3 linked regions of the Struthio camelus genome follow. The protein of the gene in region 2 binds, or shares a complex with, the protein of the main gene of each other region. Links are inferred from orthologs where the notes say so. Each region holds a gene or a part of one and is shown on either strand. Other genes may lie near its edges. The genes, in order: FAM8A1, HERPUD1 and UBE2J1.

Evidence for each region.
Region 1: HERPUD1 (region 2) and FAM8A1 share a complex: the UniProt entries of both Homo sapiens proteins name them as parts of the HRD1 complex. The link is inferred for Struthio camelus from reciprocal best matches to the Homo sapiens genes HERPUD1 and FAM8A1.
Region 3: HERPUD1 (region 2) and UBE2J1 share a complex: the UniProt entries of both Homo sapiens proteins name them as parts of the HRD1 complex. The link is inferred for Struthio camelus from reciprocal best matches to the Homo sapiens genes HERPUD1 and UBE2J1.

What each region holds. Positions count from the first base shown.
Region 1 is NC_090943.1:99,895,249-99,902,243, reverse strand, and holds the start of FAM8A1 (protein FAM8A1), read right to left. Parts: upstream 3,086-6,995; 5' UTR 2,972-3,085; coding exon 2,332-2,971; intron 108-2,331; exon of another isoform or gene 1-107. UniProt on the Homo sapiens protein: Plays a role in the assembly of the HRD1 complex, a complex involved in the ubiquitin-proteasome-dependent process of ER-associated degradation (ERAD).
Region 2 is NC_090951.1:29,902,453-29,910,310, forward strand, and holds the start of HERPUD1 (homocysteine-responsive endoplasmic reticulum-resident ubiquitin-like domain member 1 protein), read right to left. Parts: upstream 3,013-7,858; 5' UTR 2,890-3,012; coding exon 2,758-2,889; intron 1,228-2,757; coding exon 1,150-1,227; intron 1,054-1,149; coding exon 979-1,053; intron 1-978. UniProt on the Homo sapiens protein: Component of the endoplasmic reticulum quality control (ERQC) system also called ER-associated degradation (ERAD) involved in ubiquitin-dependent degradation of misfolded endoplasmic reticulum proteins.
Region 3 is NC_090944.1:50,094,741-50,102,509, reverse strand, and holds the start of UBE2J1 (ubiquitin-conjugating enzyme E2 J1), read left to right. Parts: upstream 1-4,687; 5' UTR 4,688-4,714; coding exon 4,715-4,817; intron 4,818-5,487; coding exon 5,488-5,561; intron 5,562-7,307; coding exon 7,308-7,439; intron 7,440-7,769. UniProt on the Homo sapiens protein: Catalyzes the covalent attachment of ubiquitin to other proteins. Functions in the selective degradation of misfolded membrane proteins from the endoplasmic reticulum (ERAD) and is essential for cells to recover from ER stress.

The sequences.
Region 1 (6,995 bases), on a different chromosome or scaffold from region 2:
TGTGTCAATACTACTAAATAGCATGACTGTTATGTAACTAATACTTAAGTGGATTCAATTCTGTTTGTCAACAAGTTGTCAACAAAATTCTAATTAAAGATTCTTTAACTGAGACAGGAGGGAACGCAGCCAATTTCCCCAACAAGCTACAGGCTCGAGCGTATAGCACTGGAGAACACAAAGCAAATGAATTCTTCAAAATGTGCCACTAACTTCAGTGAATGTGCTAAGAGTTTCAGTGGAAACTATTAGACTGAAACAATAACTGGATAAGGAAGAAGTGTCTGGGACCATGAAAATCAGCATCCGAATTATGTTAAACTCCATTACATTAAGAAACTCTGATAACCCCTCAACTCTAGCAGATTTCTATTGCAGCCATTTAATATACTCCCAGCATCAGAAATCCACTGTTTTGTCAGGAGTTACTATTTGTACTGGAGGGACAGCTGAATGAAACATGCATCCATCTCAGCTCAAAGTCTGACATTAACCTAGTAACAAAGATGGGTTTGCACTTAGCCAGCCAGACAGTAAAATAAGGCAGCTGAGGCTTGAACACACTTTTTGTTCCGCTGTTCCCAGAATAAGAGCAGTAATCTCCTACACTAAGGCAAGGAGGATAAATCAAGAGGGATGAGGGGAGGAAACATCTTGAAAAATGATGACTAAATCCACCAAAGGCCTGGTACTGCCCGGAGTGCTACTGATACTGAACTGACACACAGGCAGATTGAAGAGGAAGAAACAGTTTAATTCCCCTTTTGGGCATCCTAGTTAAGATCTGCAATATTAACATAAACCGTCACTTAGTTCGGTTTACGTGCACACACTGGACTGTAAACCACAGTGGCTTAGGGATGGATATAAGTCCTGTCCTACCAACTCTGCTGAGTGAGCAATCACCTGCAGCAGAAGGGAAGGAGCTGTAATCGCTTTAGCTGCTCCAGATAAATCCATATGCAATTGGGAGCCAAAGCACTGGCACAACAGTGCTTGTTTATAATTCTATCATATCACTATATCATGCAAAGAATTCCCTTTGGAAGTCTGGGTGTTGCAACAATATTTAGCACTGAGAATAGCCACATTCAGCAGAACGGAGTGTTATTCATACCCTATGTTACCTTTAGCATGTGATATTAGTTCCTGAAGAATTAGGTAAAAATCCAAGAGTTATTTCAGTCTAGATTTTGTCCACATCATCTTTTCCAGTGACTAGTAATAGCTGTTCATAAGCAATATATAAATCAGGGCATAATTTAAAAAAAATACTACTTTGTGTTACAACCATGCTGAAACAACATCTGCCTAAACCCACAACAAAGCAGCAAGTTTGGGAGCTAGATTCCCTTCCTTTTAAAATGAAGGAGAAACAGAAAATTTCTCCCCTCACATTCAGTCACTGAGCTTAGAAATAATGTTACAGATCAGTAATGCTGTAGTTTGCCCTAGAGAAAGAAAGGAGATCTGGCTTTTTTCCAAAGTCCTTTAGCAGTGTTCTGCCATTACTCAAGGTATTACCAAACATTCACGGAATGTCATCTAGGCACTCTTAGAGTTTGTCAAGAAATGTTTGTGTTCCAGTTTTTCCTTCTGATGAGATCACAGTAAAAGTTTGTTTTACTTTCGAACAAATGTAAACAGAAGCAAGGTTATTCCACTGCTAAAGCTGTCTAAGTCATAACAGATTTTTGTTTATTTCAGGTCCTGTCACTAGCATGTAAGCATATTTTAATCTCTCTACTTCAGTTTCATTTAAATGATTTTGAGCACCAAGAGTCCACTAAAACAAACAGAGAAAATTAGTTTAGCTTTCTTCATCCAAACAGACTATTTAAAAAGCTAGACACTTCATGAACAGCTATGGTCCTGTCAATACCAGAATGAGTTTTACTGCAAAAAAAAAAAAAAAATTCCTTCCTATCCATTAAAACACTTCACAAATATCAAAGTAATAAGCGGCAAATGCAAGTCAACCCTCTCAAATCTACTCACTGAATAAACTGTGGATTTACAAACTCAGTATTTCAGCTGTCACCTTTCGCATGACAGGTCCGCCGCCCACAGAAGCGCACCCCAACCTTGCAAAACCCCTCGCTTCCTCCTCGACATGCCGCCTCCAAGAGTTGCGCCGGAGGAGCCCAAAACAGCGAAGAAGGGAGAAGGTGCTGCGAGCCGTGAGCCAGCACTACCGCCGGGGATGGCGTCGCCGACCCCGGTGCGCGACCGGAGGCGGCTGAGCAGGGACGCGGCCGCCTCCCCCCAGGGCGCGGAGAGCGAGGTGCGAGGCCCGATCCCCCCCCCCTCCACCCCCGCGGCCCCTCTCACCTGCCGGCCGCGCCGCCTCGCGGGGGGCGCCGCTGGTGCCGGCGCCGACGGCGCCGCTGGAGGCAGCCCTGGGCAGGGGGGCCAACCTGCCCGCCGCTCCCTGCCAAGAGGGGGCCGCGGCGGCGCGGGGCCCCGGCCCGGCGGTGGCTGTGGGGGCTGGCGCCGGAGCGAAGACGTAGAAGGGGCTGTAGTAAGCGGCGGCTGCCCCCGGCGGAGGAGGAGGAGGAGAGAAGGAGGAGGAGGAAGGAGGCGGCGGCGGCGAGGACGCGCGGCCGGGGCCCGCGGCGTACGAGGGGCCGGCGGCGGCCAGCAGGGCGGGGAGACAGCTCTGCCAGCTGAGGTAGCCGCAGTAGGAGTCCCAGAGCCACTGGTGCACGCGCCGCGCGTACTCCGCCGCGCTCAGTGCCTTCGCCTCCCCGCCGTCGCCCCCAACGGCTGCGGAGGAGGAGCACGAGAGTGACGACGCAGCCGCGGCCTCCCCTCTCGCGCCGCTGTCGCTCCTCTCGCTGCTTCCCCCCGCCGTCGCTGCTACTGCTGCTGCCGCCGCCCCAGCTCCGGGCCGACCCGCGCCGGGCTCCGCGCCGGGCTCCGCCATCTCCTCCATCCCCTCTGACACTGAGCGTCTGCGCTCACGGCGCATGCGCGAGGGCGACGCCTCGCCTCTCCCATTCGCCGAGGCGGAGAGGGGGAGAGGGGAGAAGCGGGCACAACCTAGAAAGAGCCCCTCAGGGGCCCTCCGCGGCGAGGAGCGTACCACCCTCCAGTGGTCCCCTTTCTGCTTCTGTGCGAGGAAAGAACAAGCTTCGCTAGGAGGCAGGAAGGCTTCTCTCTCCTCCCCCTCCCCCCGCCGTGAGATGGTCTCGCCTAGTGCTGAGGCAGAGGGCGAGGGGGAGGGGAGCAAAGGAAGGGAAGGGGGCGGGGTCTCGCGCTGGGCCCAGGGCCTTTACAGCGGTTGGCGTCGCCGAGCCCTTCGGGCCGGGGCTGCCTTACGCGAGACCCGGCGGCTTAACGGCCGCGCCGCGCACCACGCACACGTAGAGCCTCTTTTTTCCCCAAGCCGCGCCGCACCGCGGGGGCTGGCCCTGCCTACGAGACAGGTTCAGCTGCGTCAGGGCAGGCGCCACCCCCTGCGGTCGCTGCCGCGCCCCTTGCCCTTGCCTTAAGGAGAGGGCTGAGGGAGATGTTCCCCTCACGCCTTCCTGCGCGGGGCGGGGAGGAGAGGAGGGAGACCTTCCCTGCCCTGAGCTCTCCTTGCCCTGCGGCGCTGCCTCGGGTTTCTTGGCTGCTGCTGACGGCAGTTTGAGCGTGTACCCTGGAAGCGCCTTTCCCGTTGCTCGCTCGTCCCGTGCTAGCAAGAGTCGTGAGTTGCCCTGTGCGAGGGGTCGCTTCCCCCTCGCCGCGGACGGGACGACGGAAGCGGCTGCCGGGGTTGCAAACCTAAAAACAAGACCCAAAGCGCGGAGGAGAAGTAATGCCATGCTACTCCAGTCCCAAGCGTAGTAGAACCTGCGCTTTCGAAAGGTCTCCCAGCAAAAACACACGTATAGGAGACGTTTAATTCTTCCTCAATATAAATACCGAGGCCTCCTCCCCCTCTTTCCCCCCCCCCCCCCAACGCCTTAGGCGGCCGCAGCGGCTTGTCGCGCCGCCCGGGGGCAGCGCGGGGAGCCGCGCTCGCCGGCGCAGCAGGGAGCTCGGCCCGCGCCCCCGCTGAGGGCGCCGCCAGCCCGTCGGCCCCCTCCGCCGTCCAAGGCTGAGCCGTTCAGGTCTGGTCAGGCGGGAAGTCCCCGTTTCACAGGCTGAAATCTGAAAGCTGTCTGCGGGCAGTGAGGTTACTTGCACTAGTGCCTTGTGCTGGAGTGTGAGAAGGGAGTCAGGATCTTCTGTGTGCGGCTTCGTTTCCACGGCCTTCCCCTCTGAAGTCAGGACAGGGATTAGCTTTGCTTGGCAAGACAGGGTGAAGGGCCAGCATGTAAACTGCCATAATTCAGATTCCCTCTGTCTCCCTTCAGTTGACTTCTGATTTTGCCCCAGATAACAGATATATTAATTTTAATAGACTGTGGTAGATGAAGTCATAGACCCAAGTAAGGAATAAGGCATTGCCTTGCTTCCAAGCAGGTGCAGCCGGACAAATTTGTTCTCTCTTTTGATCTTGTCATAGCCACCTGTGATTACAGCTGTTGTTTCTGACCTCTAGCAAATCTAAAAACACTTTCTCTTTCCCTAAAATAAAGTAGCCTTGCAGTTACCTTTGCTAATAGGAAGTGTGTTGAATTTTTTTGGAGAAATAAAAGGAAGAAAAGGTGTTAACTTAAACTTTGCTATTTCTCTTCTGTATTTCTACGGTTTATTTGATGTGTTGTCTAAATGCTGGTTTCTTTTCCATCTCCCTTTTCTCATCTCTTCCCGTATTTCATTCATCTCCTTCCCATTCCAAAAATACTGAAGAACTAGGAGCCCTACAGGAAGTTTAAACACAATTCTCCAAAATAGTTTCTAATATTTAAGGTTCCTGTATGCTAGTAAGCATCACAACCAGACCTGAACTTCTGCATAACATAAATGTTAACATAGCACCATGCTGGATGAACTAGTAATAAATACTGTTAAACAGGGAATGTTTCCCATTTTTAACACAGCAAATAGCAGAACTGGAAACAAAAATGAAAATAAGTGTTTCTCTCTCTCTGTTAGGCAAAAACAAATAAACTTTTCTCCCATATAATCCTAATTTATTTAAAAATAGAAGTAATTTCTGTGTTGCGAGTCCCTAGTATAGACAAGCTGAAGTGAACTGAAATTGTGCTTAGCTAATAACCCATATCACCTTAATTAAAAGAAATGCGGTTATGTGCTGGCAGTCATGGTTCTAATTATACTGTCATCTGTTTTGTAACATACACTTGGTTAAAATCAATATGGATAATTGATTTGGGAAACATGACAAGTTTCGGCATGATTAGGAAGGACATTGAAGAATGAAAGAAAGGCAGGAAAAGAGGGAAGGAAGATATGCAAGTCTACAGAAGAAAATCATTTAATGTGGTACCTTAGAGGTGACCCTTTGAGAAAAAAACAAAGGCAAGGAGGAGTCTGAATTTATGAAGATATAAAAAAAAACCCTCCCACAGTCCCAAGATTATGTTTAAGATAGCCTGAAATAGATAATCTTTGAATAGCTATTAACTTGTATTAGGAAAGCTAGTTTGGAGAATTACAGTAAAAGAAGCTTAGCAGAGGTCCTCCTTCATAATATTTCACTGATTTCTTTATCAGCTACAGTCTATTTCACTTTTTTTTTTTTAAGTGGTTGTTCACTGCAAACCCTTCAGAACCAGCCACTGTCAGTCAGACCTTTTTTGTGTTGGCATAATCAGAGTTTCTGCAAGCCAGATCAGATATTTAGGTGCAATTACAAAATCTCACAGGCTTCATAAAATGCTGCCAGTCACCTGTAACTTTTAGGATTGTCAGCAGCATTACAGAGGCATAACCAATTGGAGCTCACTGCGTAGTTATGCTGGGTACTCAAGGTGAAATTGCATCACTGACAGCAGGGAGAAGGGGAGTAATGGTAGAGGAGGCAGACAATGTAACATTGTCTTTCTTCAGACAAGTTTTTCAGTCATTAGTTTTTCATTCTTCTGCCTTGAATACAATACTGTTACAAAAAACAATGCAAATTCGGTATAACGCAAACATTCAGATTATTCTATGGTGTATGTGATAAAGAGATACATACTATAACAACAGGGCTTGCCAGTGGTGTTGGAACTCACACTTTATTAGCCTTTTTGATAGCAAAGGGACTTGTTTCATTGCTGTTCTAGGTTACCACACATTATGGGAGTAGTTATAATAATCTTCTGCATCACTGATTTCTCCCTGCTTGAGCTTGTTTTCTCTTGTGAGCAGTCAGAAAGGGAGATAGTCTGAAGTAGTTCATTCTGTCGGTTGACGAAAATAAGTAGTTGAATGCCTTTGACAGCTAATTAGTCTCTTCTTCCAAAAGTGAGATTTGGGCGAGGAGAAACCTTCTGAACTAGATCCAGGAAAGGGAGTTAAGCACCTAAAAGCTGATATTGCAATAGTTAAGGTTTAGAGGGAACTTAAAATCCCATCTTAAGCTCTTTATATATAGGTAAGTGCTGAAAAACATAATTATCACTATTAAGCAGGGAGCCTTTCACAGTCAGTAGAAAATAATAAAGCACTGTTCTGCCTTAACTCTGGCTGCTGTTCAGAGCTACAGAGGTTCATTTTTGATCCACATCCCAGCATCTTGTTTTCAAGGCAAGTTCTTAACCAGTTTTTAAAGGAACTGCTGAAACATTCATCTGGATGTATGAGATCCCAGTTTAATGCCTTCCTTTGCTTGGGGCATTCAAACCACGTCTCCTGCCTCACACTAAAGTGCCCTAAAAATAGGGGCCCCTCTTAAAGAATCCTTGGATAAGAGTTGTTGGACATTAATCATCGGCTACTTGTTGTCATTCCACAGTGGTCAATTGCTGTTGCATCCAGTCATAATCAAAAGCCACTAGTGGCCTACATACATTCATCCCATTTAGGCGTTCGTAGCAAGTATGTGTGTTCATGTACAGAATTAAGTTTAAACGCAGACCTTGGTTAAAGTGACTCTTCATTACTGGAATGTACAC
Region 2 (7,858 bases):
CAACATTTTAAAGCTCCTTAAAAGCTACTTGCATATAAAAATGACTTGATTTTACTCTTTTCATTTTCAGGATTTCTAGGTATGTATTTCATAATTCTGTCACATATATAATCAGGTCCTGTCTGGTTATAAGAATGCAATTGGAAAAAAATACAGGGAACTGCACTCAAAACAGTTTGGCTTGTTAGCCCTGAAGTGTTTATACTTGCATATATACACTGCTGTATAGAGGCACTAAGTCAAGAGCTGCTGTGCTAATGTACCTGTACTATATTCAGACCAGAGCTGTTTCACATCTGGCAAACTCCAAACATAAATAGACTAAATTCAAATCACCTGTAATGGACAATCAAAGTGTACCTTTAAATATGCTAACCCACTCTTGGAAGTAAAATACATCTTTGGCCATTTAGTATCTATTGCACTTTACACCAGTAAGTACTCAGTTCAAGTACTAACGCTTATCTTTAGCTTCCTCTCTACTGACTTTCCAAGTCATTAATGAGAGCAGTTAAAATGCCTTCAACTAATAGTTGTCTTTCTACCTCAAACTGATGTGGGGTCAGAAGTCCTTTTCTGTCCTAAACAGCTATGTCTTCTGCACACAAGCACAGCTTTTCCATCCAAAAGAGCTGGGCATATGACAGGTCATATGCTATTTAACAAAACTGAATTTACCAGATATAGACTTTGCCTAGCTGTAAAATACAGCTAGGTTGAAAGTTTTGATGTTTCTCAACAGATTCCATTAGAATCTTTACTTATGAGCCATAAATGAATTTGTATAGAACTTATTCAAAAACATTTTCACACCCCTAACTAGTAGAACTATCACCAGAAGGAATACTGTTATTACTGTACTACTGCAAGAAAAGTCTACAGCATCAGTGAGCTTTAAAACAGTCATTACATACTTTCCATTCTTCAGATAGTCAGAAGCTCAAGATTCAGAGTAGCACGTTAAGTCAGTATGACTACCTTTGCATCAGTTTCTTGTGCGATCACAGGAGTCTTGAGGTTGTATACCAAATGAAGAGCATGCAATTCCTCCTGCTAAAACATAAGCGAGGGCACGTTAAAAAGTAATTGTTGCACCTTGCTTGACATATAAGCACTACATAACCTTTTTTTTTGTTTGTTTGTTTTTACCTTCAGCAGCAACTCTCTCAGATAATGATGGTCAAGCAGCAGCTTCCCAGAGTAAATCAATCTTTGGTCCTCTTCAGGCTTTGAGGGAAGACAGAATATGGTGGTTACCTATTCTGGCAAGTGCACGCAAACATTAGACATTTGCATTACGCATAAAACTGATTAATATGCATCTGTCCATTTGACCATGAATCATACAATTGTAAGTACCTTGCACATTAAGTTGCAGAAGGAATTGTGCACATCCAAGAATTTGGCTAATACGATTAGAGCAGTTGATTACTGAAGTGCAAAATGCCTAGCACTGAGATCTAAACCAGCAGGAGGATAAAAAAACATTCTGTTGGCAAAGGACTTGCAGTCTTTTGTCAGGACTGTAAAAGAGTTGACATGTAGCTTCCTAGAAGCAGAGGTTTGCAGCACTGTCTAATCTGAGCAGCACTGAAGGTGTTACCAAATAAATCTGTTATACCCCCTGAGATGAATCTGAGCAGCTGTTCACCTAAAATCCTCCTACTGCTGCATAACAGTTAGTGAGAACACACTAATCTTGTTTCTGGGCAATCACATAAGTCCACACACAGCTTATTAGAGCTTTCATAGATGCTAGTAAGTCATGTCTCAAGCAGCTGCTAAAAAAGTTCACACAAGTGATGCAATACAGTTAGAACCTGTGTCAGCATCCAGAAGCTGAGTGAGGTGGCTTGCTTCCACTAAACTTAGTCATCGAGAGGCAAAAGCACATATCCTCCAGTGAGAACATTTTGTACATGAAACTTATGCCAACTGCCCATCAGGTGAAACAAAGAACAGCACTACATGCTTACTGAACTTTCCTGAGGTCAATCCACAAGATCTTGCGACTTAAAGCAATTCCAACTGCTGCATTTAAAGTTTCAAACAACTCTGCAAAGTCTGCTACTGAGCTATAAATATTCAGCTGCTGTCTTCAAGGTCTTCTGCTTTACAGTGTAAGAGCTTTTAAATGCTGTGCCTATTAAACCAAAAAGGTGTCTCAGTCCACTGGCTACACCCAAGATATTTCATGCAATTTCATAGATGCTGTTTGACAGGAAACCTTGCAGATGCACAGTTTTCACCTAAACAGTAAGATTTATTGACCCCGCCCATCATTCAGACCAAGTTCTCCCAACAAAAGCAGAAAAGTTTCCAACCATACGCTGTGAACACTTCTAAAGCACACTCAGTACCCTCTCAGGCAAAGTTAATATTTAACAGCGGTTAAACAAGAAACCGAATCAACTCCCAAAATAACTCCCAGCAGAGCCCGAACAAGTTTCACATCTATATTTATCAGCAAACCAGAGGCAACGGATGCGAGGCGGTGCAGGACCCCCTCCCCCGGACCGCCTGCAGAAGCGGGCGCTGGAAGCGCTCCCCGCCCCTCTGATTTTCTGTTTTAGAGTCTCGCTAAGAGCGTGCGTCACTCGGCCGAACGGCGGCGGCCCCGGAAGGCTCGCCGGGCCGCTCCGGCCGCCGGGGGCCGGGGCTCGCAGCCGCCCCACCGCGGCGGCGGGAAGCGGCTCGCGCACGGCGCCGAGGCCGTTAAACCGGGGCGGGGGGGGGGGGGGGGCGGCGGCGGCTCACCGGCGCATCGGGTATGAGGCGGCGCAGCTCAGCCTTGAGGCGCCGCACGGTCCAGGCGGGCTCGGCGCGGAGCCGCAGGTCGGGGTGTCGCTGCGTGGGGCTCTTGACCAGCAGCGCCAGGGTCTCCTCCATGGCAGGCGGGCGGGCGGGCGAGCGGCCTCCCGTCACCGAGGCGCCGGGCCTTTATAGCGCCTCGGTCACGCCCCGGCCCGCTCCGCCGCCCGGCCGCGCTGGCTGGAGTTGATTGGCTGCGGCGGGAGACGAGGCTGCCACGTGGGCCAATGGGAAGGAGAGCCGGGCGGAGCGCGGCAGGCGGGCGGCGGCAGGGGGCAGCGGGCGGGGCGCGTGATTGGGCGGCGCCCGGGGGGCCTCCGGGGCGCTGCCGGGGCGCGGGGGTCGCCGGGGGTTACCATGGGGACGGGGCCTCGGCCCGGGCCGGGTCACCGAGGGGCCTGGCGGCCGTTGCGCGGTGCCAGCGGAGCCCTGCGGCGCCCCGGGCCGGGCCGGGCCGGGCCTGAGGGGGACGCGAGTCCCCTCGCCCCCTCTCTTGCCCCGCGTCGGCCTGGCGCGTTTAACCGGCCGCTGCGGGACCCCGTCGGGCCGCGCCTGGGCAGCTGCCGAGCGCCTCCCGCGCCTCTGCCCCTCGCCGGGGGCCGGGGGAGGAGGCCGCGGGCCGGCGACCTGCCGAGAGAGGAGAGGGCAGCCCTCGTGAGCTGCCTCTGCCCTGTCCTTTGTCACCTGCCCAGACCGCAGCTCCGTAATACGTTGGCTTGGGCTGCGAGGCCAATCTGACGGATCCCTGACTTCAGTCTTCTCTTTCCCCCTCCTGTACAACAGCAACGCAGCTCTCTGGGAGGCCTGCCGTGTGCCAGATCTACAGGCCGATCCGGGTGAAGCGTCACCTTTTTTGATATGATAATTTTACCAGATCTACACTATTACCTAAATAATTTTGTTCCTGAAATGGGGGGGGGGGTGTGGAAGCAGGACACAACAGCTTCTGCATGGGTCCCTGGGTCCCCAGTAAGCATGCAGGGGTGTGCAGGCTGTTGGTGAAGCGTGATAATTCATTAAGCTATCACTGACAAAAAAATAGTCTCATCTTGTAGAACTGCAGCTTCAGAATTCTCTTTCAGATACTCGTCTTCCTTTGAGACGTGATCCAGCAACAGGAAAACCAGTGGTAATGACACTAATGCACCAGGAGAGGGTTTTAGCGTACTTTTAAAAAATCAAGTAAGAATGTGGGAAGTCAGTTGTATCTGTCTGCACCACGTATTTACTCTGCTCGTTTCATTAGCTGCTTAGTACTCTTTGGCAGCCATACCTGTTGCCCAAAGGCACGGATAGATGATTTTGCAGCCAATAGCTGATTTTGCAACCAGAAAAGACACTCAGCCCCTGGGGTGCATCATTTCTCAGCTTCCTGAGAAAGATCTGTGCCCACAGGGCGTTACTGCCTTGGGAAGCAGCAAGTAAAATCAAAATGAAATGAACTGAGCTTATGTCTGGTCTGATGAACTGTTCTCACCTGCCAGAGTACAACAGCACACTTTGCAAGGGTGAAGAAAGCAGGCAGGCGCTTTCCCGCACTGCATCCCTCCCCACAAAGAGTACTTCAGGAACAGAAGTAGCTTAAGAGCTGCAGAAGAGCTGTGCTCCTTCCTCACTTATCCATGAGTGGACTCAGCACTAAAGAGGAGGGGTTTCATTCCCCAGTCCTAACCAGTAAGTCACTTCTGTAATCCCAAAGACAAGGAAAGATGCCTGAGACTGTCAGAGCTATCTGCCGCTCTTGCTGTGCTAGCAGGGACCATGATCTGCGTCCCCCAGCTCCTGTTGGCAGTGGAAGAGGGAAAGCCAAAGGAAATGTCAGAGGGCACCCTTGCAAATGTCCCCCTTTAAGGACAGGGTGCCTTTGTTTGCTGCTTGCTTGGTTGCAGCCTTTGTTCAGAGTGCCCAGAGGGCTCCCGTGGGTGGCAGAGACAAGGCTGTGGAGAGATTAGTATCCCATTAGGATCTCGGGTTTTGCTTGCGCGTTCTGCTGGGACTCCCTATGCCTGGCTTTCAGCCGGCCGCTAGCCCAGGGATCGCGTGAGCAGCTGTAGTCACAGTGCCGTTCCTGCCTCAGGGTTCAGCTCCCACATGTCCCCGTTAATGAACAAGAGGGGCAGAGCTCCTTCTCCTGCCCTAGCTGTTGCTGGAAACCACGGACTAGCGAGCACCTGCTGGGCAAGCTGGGCGGGAGGATAGACCTCCTGGGACCCTAGCTCTGGGGGCAGGGGGTCCCCTCAGATACGCCCTCTGCATGCCAGCCCTGCCTGTTTGAATGTGGCTGCTCCTTATTGCTGCATATCAGCACACATGGCACAATAAAAGATTTATGGGATAAAAGTCTGGCCTCTAATGGCTAGCAGAGGCTGGCTACAGGGGCCATGCGCTGTGGTCAGAAGTGTTGGGTTTCATACAGAGGACCAGGCAAGGTGTATGTTTCTTATTCCAAAGTGCTCTCGTGTGTGGTCTGCACATACCATCTAATCTGTTTGTGGTGTCGGGAAGCCATTCTTTCTGTGGCAATTCCTTTTCAGTTGGCCCCAAATGCCGTCTCTTGCCTCCCCCTGCTCCTCGAACAAGCTCTGCGTGGCTGAATCCCAACTGACCTGCAAGTCCGCTCTGCCTCCAAACCCCAGGCACAGCAGAGATGCCGGGGACAGAAACAAGACAGAGATGCTGCGACACAGGAAGCGGAGCAGCACATCAACAAGCAGCTGGAGCCTGCTCAATGCTCAGGGAGCCAGAGGCAGCTCATCCTCGGTCTTTCCAAAACTCACTGCACTCCCAAGCATCAGAGTGAGCTGCACGGCATCCATCCTTTCCACACTGTCAGTTCCCCAGGAGAAACAGCAATTATTTGGGGCCTCACTGAAAGCATACAAGGCCAGTTGGAAGAGGGGCCCGGAGAGGTGGAATCACCACCCTTACGAGTTTTTGAGACTCAATGGACAAACCCCAGGCAACCTCATGACTCTGCTTTGAGCAGGGAGGTGGACTAGTGACCTCCCAAAGTGCCTTCCAACCTGAATGTTTCTGTGGTTCCAATTGCTAAACCTCAACAGCTCTCCTCCGAGTTAGCAAGGAGTGCTTGAGCCCCTTGGAAAGCCAGACCCTCGCTGCCTTCAGGCCCTCACTGTCTTCACCTGAAGCATCTGTGAACTGACAGATCTAAAATTAGGGGACACACCTGGACCTTTGGTAACATGTGCTCCAGTCCCAGAGGCTGATTCAGAGCTCTTGAAACAGAGGCAAAACAAATATCTGCCCTGATACTATCTGCTTAACTTAGGTTTTGTTCCATAGCAACAGATTCACGGACACTGCTCCAAATACAAGGTGTGACTAGCATGTGATCAGCACTGCCCTATTGAACAATTAACTCTGATTTGCCAAAATCGTAGATGAAGGGCTCCAAGCTTGTTTTGCCACCAGTACCTGTGTAAGCATTAACCCCCCGTGTAAATCAGGATTATCTCACTGACCTCAACACAATTACTGCATGAAAAAAAGCTCAGGGTTGATCCTGGGTGGGGGGGAATCACCGATTAGTTTATAGCAGCCTTTGGAGTTAGGCTAATTTTCACTACATAACAATCTCACTCCAGTGACCTGGAACAACAGGAGCAGCCGGTGGAGGATTTTACTATACGCAAAGAAATGTCCTGTAGCCTCAGAGACTGGCATATGATCTCTGCAACACCTCTCTGCCTGGCAGGCGATCTCTGCAACACCTCTCTGCCCAGGTGCAGTGACGCAGTGCAAGAGAGCGTGCCAAAAGATACAATCTGGCTTATGTGGGCCCCCTGGTTTGGTGATCCTGGAATCTGATGCGTTTTGGAGCTGTCCAAAGGTTGCTCTGCAGCCTGGATAGGTCGAAGATCAGGAGATTCAAACCGCACGATTCAAACACATCTGGCTGGTTCTCAGGATTTAGTTCAATGTATTTATTCAGGAAGAAGCACTGTGTTTGTCAGCCATCTCGCTTAATAAAATGTTTCATAATACTGTTGTAATAGTCCCTTCGATTGGTGTGGCTGTGTACAGTTTTTCTTCGAGCCCATGAACAAGATTTTAGTCTTGGGAAGACTTTATGCTGGGGTTTTTGTCTCTGGAGAGGGCGTGCTGCGAGCAGGCAGGGAGCTCGCAGCATGCTGTGCATCCTGACTGGCATCACACCTGGGCTGCGGATGGGATTTGGAGAGAAAGGGTCACCTGCATATCTCTTTGAGAATTTCTGGGCATAAACAGAGTGACTTCTACGCGAGACGTATCCTGAGTGCATCACCCACCGAAGTAACTGGCAGCACCCGAGGAAATCTGCTCCAGCATGAACAACGCAGCCTGGCAGTCAGACGGTGGGAGAGGCAGAGCAATGCTGAACAATCATACCAGGCCTCAGGACGTGTCAGGCCTTGGCCAGTCTTGAACTTACTTTAGCTTGATTTTAGGTTTATCTGCAAAAATCATTCAAGAAACTTTTGCTGTGCCTGCAGCTTGCTCTCGGATCAGATGCCTGTTGTCTAGCTCGTCCTAGCTGTAACAGCCCCCGGTGGTCAGGTTCTGTGTCTATCGCATGCTTTGGAGCTTGTTTAGTTATATTATTACTTAAATTGCTTTAGTCTCAGTTTTGCTTAGCTTTGTGCAATTGCATAGCCCTCCTCCCCAAAAGGCACCCTAGCACAAATAGGGAACGACTACCAAACCTGCGTAATCGTGGAGTTTGGGTTCATGGAGAGGGAACCTGGCACCAGCTGCCCCGACACAAGGAGGGTGCAGGCACTCTCAGGGCCCTCCCTTTCTCACCCTGCAGATCGGTAGGAGAGGCAGGAGTAGAGCATGGCCCCTCAACAAGTACAGGGTTGAGGCGTATGAAAACGTCCCTGGCGTAACCCAATGCCGAGAAGGGAGAAACGCTCTCAGCAGCGCCGCTGCGTGCCTCTCGGCCAAGCCCCGGGGGTGCGGGTGACTCGCCGTAACTACGGGCACGAGCCCCACATCAGGGGAAAGGGGCAGATGCTTGTGTCTATTGATTTTATTGTGCTACTAA
Region 3 (7,769 bases), on a different chromosome or scaffold from region 2:
TTGTAAAAGGATTATAACTTGTATTTCATAGTACTTTTCTGCCTCAAATCCCTCTTTCTCTATTGTAGTTTAATTCACTAATGATCACGTGTCGTTCACGGGTTTTAAGCTGTCCAGGAAAACCACGTCTGTGATGGAGTAGGTGACACATAGTTAGACAGTGACGCTCTGCAGGTCACTGTGAACCTGTTAGTGTCTCTCTATGGTCAGTTTTAATAAATCATTTTCTACAGAGTACAGCACCTATGTATGATATTCTCCATATCAAAGAGTTGTAGGAAAAGTAATGCATAAATGTCCAGTCGGATAAGACTCTTTGCTCTAATTATTATTATTATTATTATTTTTTTGCTTGCTTCTTTGGCGACCTCATTGCTTAAAGTGATTTTTTTGATTTAAGATATCGAAGCTCATTGGGTGTTGTCATCTCAGGAGAAATCCCGTGTACTGTAAACAAAAATTTATTCCTGCCTCTTTCTTGGTGTGATTCAGTCCTTGTACAATTAAAAGATTGACTGACTTTACTGTTGGAGTTTTTTTTTTTTTTTCCTTCCCTGAAATGAATTTTACCTTGCCTATAATAGCCTGCATTTTCTTTTGAATGCAAATACAGAGTGTTTGAGTAAGTGAGTTCAAAGGTATGTGAGGTTGCTGTGGAAGTTGTTGCCGGTGATTCAGTAGGTGACACTGTTTACTTGGGGCTCTTAAGTCACTGGGTGATTACCCTGGCCAGGGGACAAGGCGCTGTTGGCTCAGCAGTCAGGTATTGATTTGGGGGAGGGAAAGGAGATCCGAATCTGTCACAGCTGATTTTGAAAGGACTTTCCCAAGATGTCACCCATGACATTGAGTATAGTCTAATTTAAGAGACCTGATTCTTATCTAAAATTTGTTGTGCAGTTTCAATGAAATCTGATGCTCTTTTTATTCTTCTAATTGTAGATAGTAGTATCATTGATAGGCAAGCACCCGTATTTTACTAATATGGTAAGTAGGCGAAGTAGTTAAAATTCTGTGGGATGAAAGGTGTCGTATAAATGCTACGTCAATCTAATTCAATTGGAAAACCTGGGCAGATTTGAAAAGTAAACTGCATCTCTAGCAATGCTGTCTTAGTCAACAGAGTCATGAGAAAAATAACTTTTTCTCTTTTTCTCTTAAGTAGATCTCTAAGTCTTGTTTGAAATGGAAACATTTTATTTATAAGTCAGGGAAAAAACGATGAGTATTTGCTGCAGCAGTAGAAGCTGTCAGATTGCTTTATTCCTTCTTTTCTAGATCAAATAAGTCAACTTGAAAGATTAAAAGATCTTTAGCTTTATACCAACTATTTTGGACTTCTTTATTTACTATTTTTTGTTAAGTTTTTTTTTTCCAAAGGGAAGAACTGAAATCTGATAGAATGAGACTGTTGCTCTCTATTGAGGAAGATACTGTCGCACAGAACCCTGATCACTTAAATATAAATTTATTTCTCTGATGGTCCTGTAATCACCTTTACACACACACAAGGACTTCTTTTTACATGCAGGGGTTGAGCCCTGCTGAACTGAGGCCTAACTATCCGTGTCCTTTAACTTCAGTTTGGCCAGAGTGCCTCCCCACTCAGCCTTACCTCTCCCCTCACCCACGTCTGTGCCTTTTGCTGAGTTCTTGTACCTGATTGCTGGTGTTTTTTGCAGATATTATAGCAGATCTTTAGGAAGCTTTAATGGTGTCTAGGTTTTTGCTTAAAAAAGGAAAACCACTTTGTTATACTACAGGAAATCCTGTTGCGCTGTTGTGTGTTACGTTTTCATTAACGTAACACAGTAACCCTGGTCGGCTCATCTGATTGCCATGTGTACAGCGTATAGATTTATAAAAATGAATTACAATCTCTCCTTGTTAACACTTTGGAGTACTGACAAAACAGACCTCTGCAAGGCTAAAAATAACTGTTTTAAGGCTATATTTTTATTTTCATGGTAACAGACTTTTAAAAGTATAATACTGTAGTAAGATGAACGCTCCTGATGTTCAAATCCTGCCATCCCTTTAAGCAGTAATATTTACATTTATAAAGATTGTGCGCTTCCCTTTTCTGTCTATAGAATGTTTGCCTTGGCTGTGGCGTGTAGGCTACGCTAAGTGGGCGCGATAGCAGAAATGCCTGAACACGACTTCAGGATGGGTCCAAGAGAAGGAGTTATATTGAATAGGAAATGCAGGATGGCTTAACCCGGGCATAATAGCAAGAAATTGGATTTAACCAGGAACCGTGGTGGTGGTGTTGGGAAAGAACATAAGTAACAAGCAAAAATTGTCTGCCTGGATACTTTTTTTGCAAAAACAAAGTAACTTAGCTTCAAATTTGAATTGTATTTTTTGTATTTCTTGTATTTTGACATCCACATTTTACTTTTCAGAAAAATCCTGTGAGTTCTGTGTAGAAGAACAGACAGTTTGTCAAGCAGAGCTGTTGATCCACAGAGCTTTTACTTTCCTTTGTTCCCCAGATCAGCTCAGAGCTCTTCCTCCTCCTTGTCCTCTCCTGCCAGAGAGTGAGATTCTTCTTTGCTCTGTAGAGTAATCTCAGAAAACTGGATTTCCTCAATATTTAATTCCAAGGAACATTATTTTAAATTGTTACAGCTTGTTTCTGTGAAACTACAGTTATTTTTCATGTTGATAGACATACCTTAGCAAAAAAAATCCTTGATTTATTTTGGCTTTAATACTCATCTTGGGCAATTCTAACATCTTGATTTGAAATTTCTTTTGGTTGAGTTAGTGATGCTTTTTGACTTCACTGACAGTTTGAAATTCTTTGTTTTGAGTAGGTACAAAATGTTCTAGTTTTTCAGACATTGCCAAACAACTTCAGATGACTCATGTGATTTTTAAGTAGGTTGAAGTACCACATTTTGCATCGAAACTCTCCTTTTAATGAAGCTGATAAGTGTCATGTGCTAGTGCAGCCAGACTTTGTAAATTATTTGTACTTCTTCCATTGCAGTTTCCACTAGCAAAAGGAGGGACTGTGTTTAGGAATACGGTGCTATATTTGAAGAAGCAGTTTAACACCTTTCTCACTTGCTTATGTTTTCTTATAAACTTTTATTGGACAAGACTATTCCTTGCAACTTGCTAGCTGGCATTTTTAAACAACATGCAAATACACATGCTTCTTTTTCTTAAGACATACTAGGCTTTTTAATATTGAAAACTTTGGACAGACAAATGATCTGTGTGGTATACAAGAGCTAAATTATGTATTTTGGTATATTTATTGCACGCTCTAAGAGCGGAATATTTCATGTTCTTCCAGCATATTTTATGCTGACTTCTTAGCATGAAATACCTGTAGTCTGGCTTCTTGACAGTAAGGTAGTGTTTTAAGAAAATATATACAGTATTGCTATCAATGTTAATTAAGTACAAAAGCATCTAAAACAGAATGCTTTACACTACTTAAGAGGAGCCCTCCTGCCTGAGCTCCTCGCCTGTCTGCTGTCTTGGTTCCCTCTTAGTGCAAATTCTTATTTTTTCTAATTCTGACTCTTGCTGCTGACTTTCAGCCCTGTATCTAAGTAGCCAAAAGGCTGTCCCTTTTGGAATAAGTCAGAAGGGCTGGGTGCAAGCCTTTCCCGGAGTGTCAGTAGTCTTCTGGAGAACAGTCTTGAAAACTATTTTTGCTGTAATAGTTAGCTTTTCGTCAGTTACCGAGGGTAACCGCATACAATGTTACTAAAGGAGAACTGTATTTGTTTTCTAGGTTGGTCCCTGGTCCAGGAAAGCTTAGTAACAGAGTTGTCTGCATTGTAATCCAGAACTGTTCTGTCTTGTCTTTGTTAGGTTTCTTTATATGTGTTTTCAGTCTTTTCATGGTTAGCCTTTTGTTCTTGATGGAGCGCCCAGGTCTGAGTTAGCTTGTGGTGTTTGTTTTTTTTTTCTCTTTTTTTCTTTTTTTTTGAAAGGATAGTATCCAGAGCTGTGAAGCAGCTCCAGGTCTGAAGCTGTTTCTGGTTCAGGCTGGTTTTCTTACTATTCCTTGCTAATGAACGGGTAAACCTTAATGCAGATGAGAGATGAAACATTTTTCAGTGGATCCTGGATGTTACTATCTGCTAGGTGATCTCATGTGTTCTACAGTGTATTTTATTGACACCTTGCTCTGGCAGTACAAGAATTAAGCAAATTTAGCTGAAAATTAAGCAGTAGCAAATTTGGGTGTAGTCTGCTTGCTTTTCAGTTTGTAAGAGGTGAAATTCTTGAACTTTTGCTGTTGGTTAGAGCTTTCAAGAACTGCAAAGGAAGAAGAAGCCAGGAGAACTTCTCACAGTAGATAGAAATTTAAATTATTCTGATGGAATTTAGAATAGCCTCCCTCACAGCGTTTCGAAAGTGCGTAAGTGATGGTTGGATGGTGATGCCAGACTTTGTAAATCGAGGAATTATGTTTCACTTTCAGGATTACCATTAAGCTATTGTGAAAGGGAATTTGGATGGTGTTTCTCCTTCTTCACAGTTAGGCAATTATGTGAGTGGGACTTTCACAAGTATTTTATTTCACTTTTCCCAGCAAGCAGGCGAGAGTAAAGACTTTCTACCTAACTTCATTCTTGAGGTGGCATCCTTGGATTTCTTGTCTGTGATTCTTAGGTTTAATCCTCTTTTCAGTGTAGCTGACTTTTTATTAGGAGTTAGTGCACGATGTGCACGGAGCAAAGTGATGGGACAAGTGATGGAACAAAATTTCCTGAAGGGGAAGGAGAAAGGAGATGCAGAAAATACGGAGAATACTGCATGTTCTGAAATGGAAGACAACTGCAGAGGTAACTACAGCCCATCCTGAATTTTAAGGAGGATGAACACCTGTGTGTCCACATTCACTAGCTCGTTTGAAATGCAAAGGCCTAGGTAAATTCTTCTGACTGGGCATATGTGTTTTCAAATAGTCTAGTATAAAGCATACGGCATCTCCCTGCACTTCCCAATATACCAGTTTTTCTCAAGTCTTATTTTAACCCCTTTGGATAAGTAAGGGAGTAGTCATGTAACACTGCCATGAGGTGTCAGGGTAAAGCTTTTCAGCAGTTGTTCAGAGATACTCAGGATGATCAAATGTTAGGGTGGGTAGGTCTTGTACATCTTGTATTAAAACACTGAAACTCTGTTAATGACATTTATGGTTTTCCTCATATCATTGGTGCCATTAATAATCTAACATCATTTTAATCTCAGTGTTGAGGCATTCTTTTGAGAAAGTCTAACCATGGAACATATTTTCCATAACTTTGTGTTTGTATGGCTCATTTAAATCATTATTCGGCGTGAGTAATTTATCTTGTTTTGGATTATTAACTCATGTGAAGAAGGTGTGATGTGCTGAAAAAGATGAGTTAGCGGAAAGGAGCCCTTCAAGAAATGCTTGTTATTTTTTATGCAGTATGTATAAGTAATTTCTTTCTTTATTTTCCTGTCCCCATTTTTCTGTTTTTCCAGCTGTCAAACGTTTAATGAAAGAAGCTGCAGAATTGAAGGATCCTACAGATCATTACCATGCACAACCTTTGGAGGTTTGTTTCTCCGTATGTTTGCAGGAGCTTGTCATTAGCCTGTGTAATATATATACTCTAAGTTCTCTGTGTGCATATATATTAAAAACTTGTTTGTATTTTTAGATATTAATACACCTTCTTAAAATTAATTCCATTCTTTTGGCATTTTTTCCTAAGATGGAAATCAGTGGTAGAATTCCACATCTAATGGTATTATGGAACCAGGTTCTTAATGAGAGTACGTGATAGTAATGGTTTTACATTGCACCTGAGCAGTTGCATCACATGGGTGTAATGTGTTTATTCTCACCCTCCTGAGGCTCTGAGTCTACATAAATATATTATGTTTTAGTTTTGGGCGTGTAAAGCTCAACTTGATATCTGGTTCAGTTACTGAGTTGCTCAACAAAACACTTGAAACTAGATGAGCTACATGGACTTCCTATTTTGAGTGCAAAAAACTGCATGAAAGACCTTTAAATGAGTACAGGTCTGCCATGGATGCACTGACTTGTAAGAAAGAACACTTGGTTTCCGCCACAGATAGGTACTACTTTGAGGTCCTCTAAACAGTTAGTTAAGTTTCTGAGCTGAGAGAGCAGTGAAATTCTGGTGGCTAGAAGTCTAAAAGGAAACCTATTCTGATTCTGCTAGAATATTAAAAAGGTAATGTCTTGTGATGGTCAATTTTGGGATTTGATTTGACTGTTCGCAGAAATGCGTAGCACACAGCATACTTAGAGCACGGTGCATGTTTCTCGGTACTGTAAAATATACTTTATTATTGACCAGTTTTTGTCTGTATCTTGTTTTCTTCCCGCCCTCTTCTTCCTGAGGTGAAATGCAAGGTTTAATTCATACTGTCAGTCAATAGTAACTTGCATGAAGGTCTTTTTTCAGGGTAAAAACAGTGACTCACTGGGAAGAGAGCAGTGAGAGACAGATAAAAAGACAGGCTGGAAATATTGACGGTTCCCTCTGTCCTTGAAAAAATTTTTAACTAGATGGGCTGTCACAGCCCTGCGATGCTAACATTCAGCATGAGTCATGAGATCTCATTCACTGACAGCAGGCCTCATTGGACTCCTATGATAACAGTAGGAGGTTTTTTTTGTGAGTTGTGGGTGTCAGGAGGTCTGATATGGAAAGCCAAATGCAGAATCCTAAAGAAATAATACTTAAGGAGAAGTTAATTACGTGTCCAATGAAAATGTTCCAAATTTCAAATCATGCCTACTATGCAGTAAGGCAAGATAGCTTTTTCAGAATTCTTCATGGAGAAACAAAAGAGAATGGGAATTCTATAGGGCCAGAGTCAAAGCCCTGTGTTGTGTTGGGCATAGGAGGGGCTTTCAGAGGGGAGACTGTCTTTACATGTTCTCATTTTGGGTGGTTCTGTTCCCAATTCTGTAGAAATTCTTATTCACTGGGGCAAAGACCCAGCTTTCCCTTGTTTGATCCTGAGTTTTCCATCTTTCAGGTAATAAAACTTTTGTCATAATTGGTACAACTCCTGTGAAAAGCTTGCATGATAAACTTGAATTTTCCAACAAAGCCATTTTGTAAGAAAATTACCTGAAGTTACGATATTTCATCCTTTTAATCAGAACCTTAGTACAGTGTTGACTGTCCTGTTCTCCGTTTGATTTTTTTTTTTTTTTTTTTTCTATTTGGCGTTTCTTTAGGCTGTCCTTGTTCCAAGAAAGTGGTAATTAGGTGTCTGCTTCTTTGACGCACTCTTCTTTTTTCATGGGGGCATTTTAGGATAATCTTTTTGAATGGCACTTTACCGTTAGAGGCCCTCCAGATTCAGATTTCGATGGAGGAATTTATCACGGGCGAATAGTACTACCACCTGAATATCCCATGAAACCACCAAGCATTATTTTGCTGACGGTAAGCATATTTACCAGTTATTCTTTTTTGCATGAACAGTTTAACCTTAGATATCTGAGAGGGAGATTCCTGGCATATAAGATATCATTCTTTTTGTAATAAAGGTGGCATAGTACAGTTAATACTGCTAATTTAATGAGAAGTCTTCCAAGGTAACTTTGGTATTTTGTAGTTATATAAAGTTTTGCCCCTATAGATGGAAATTTTCCCCAGGAGTAAGCGCATTGCTAATGTGAATGCGATGGTCTAATGTTTTTCTTCCCTCCGTGGACCTCTTCAGTCTCTGTATTGGCACATGTAACAAGGCAGACCAGTGTTATGGGGGAAAGG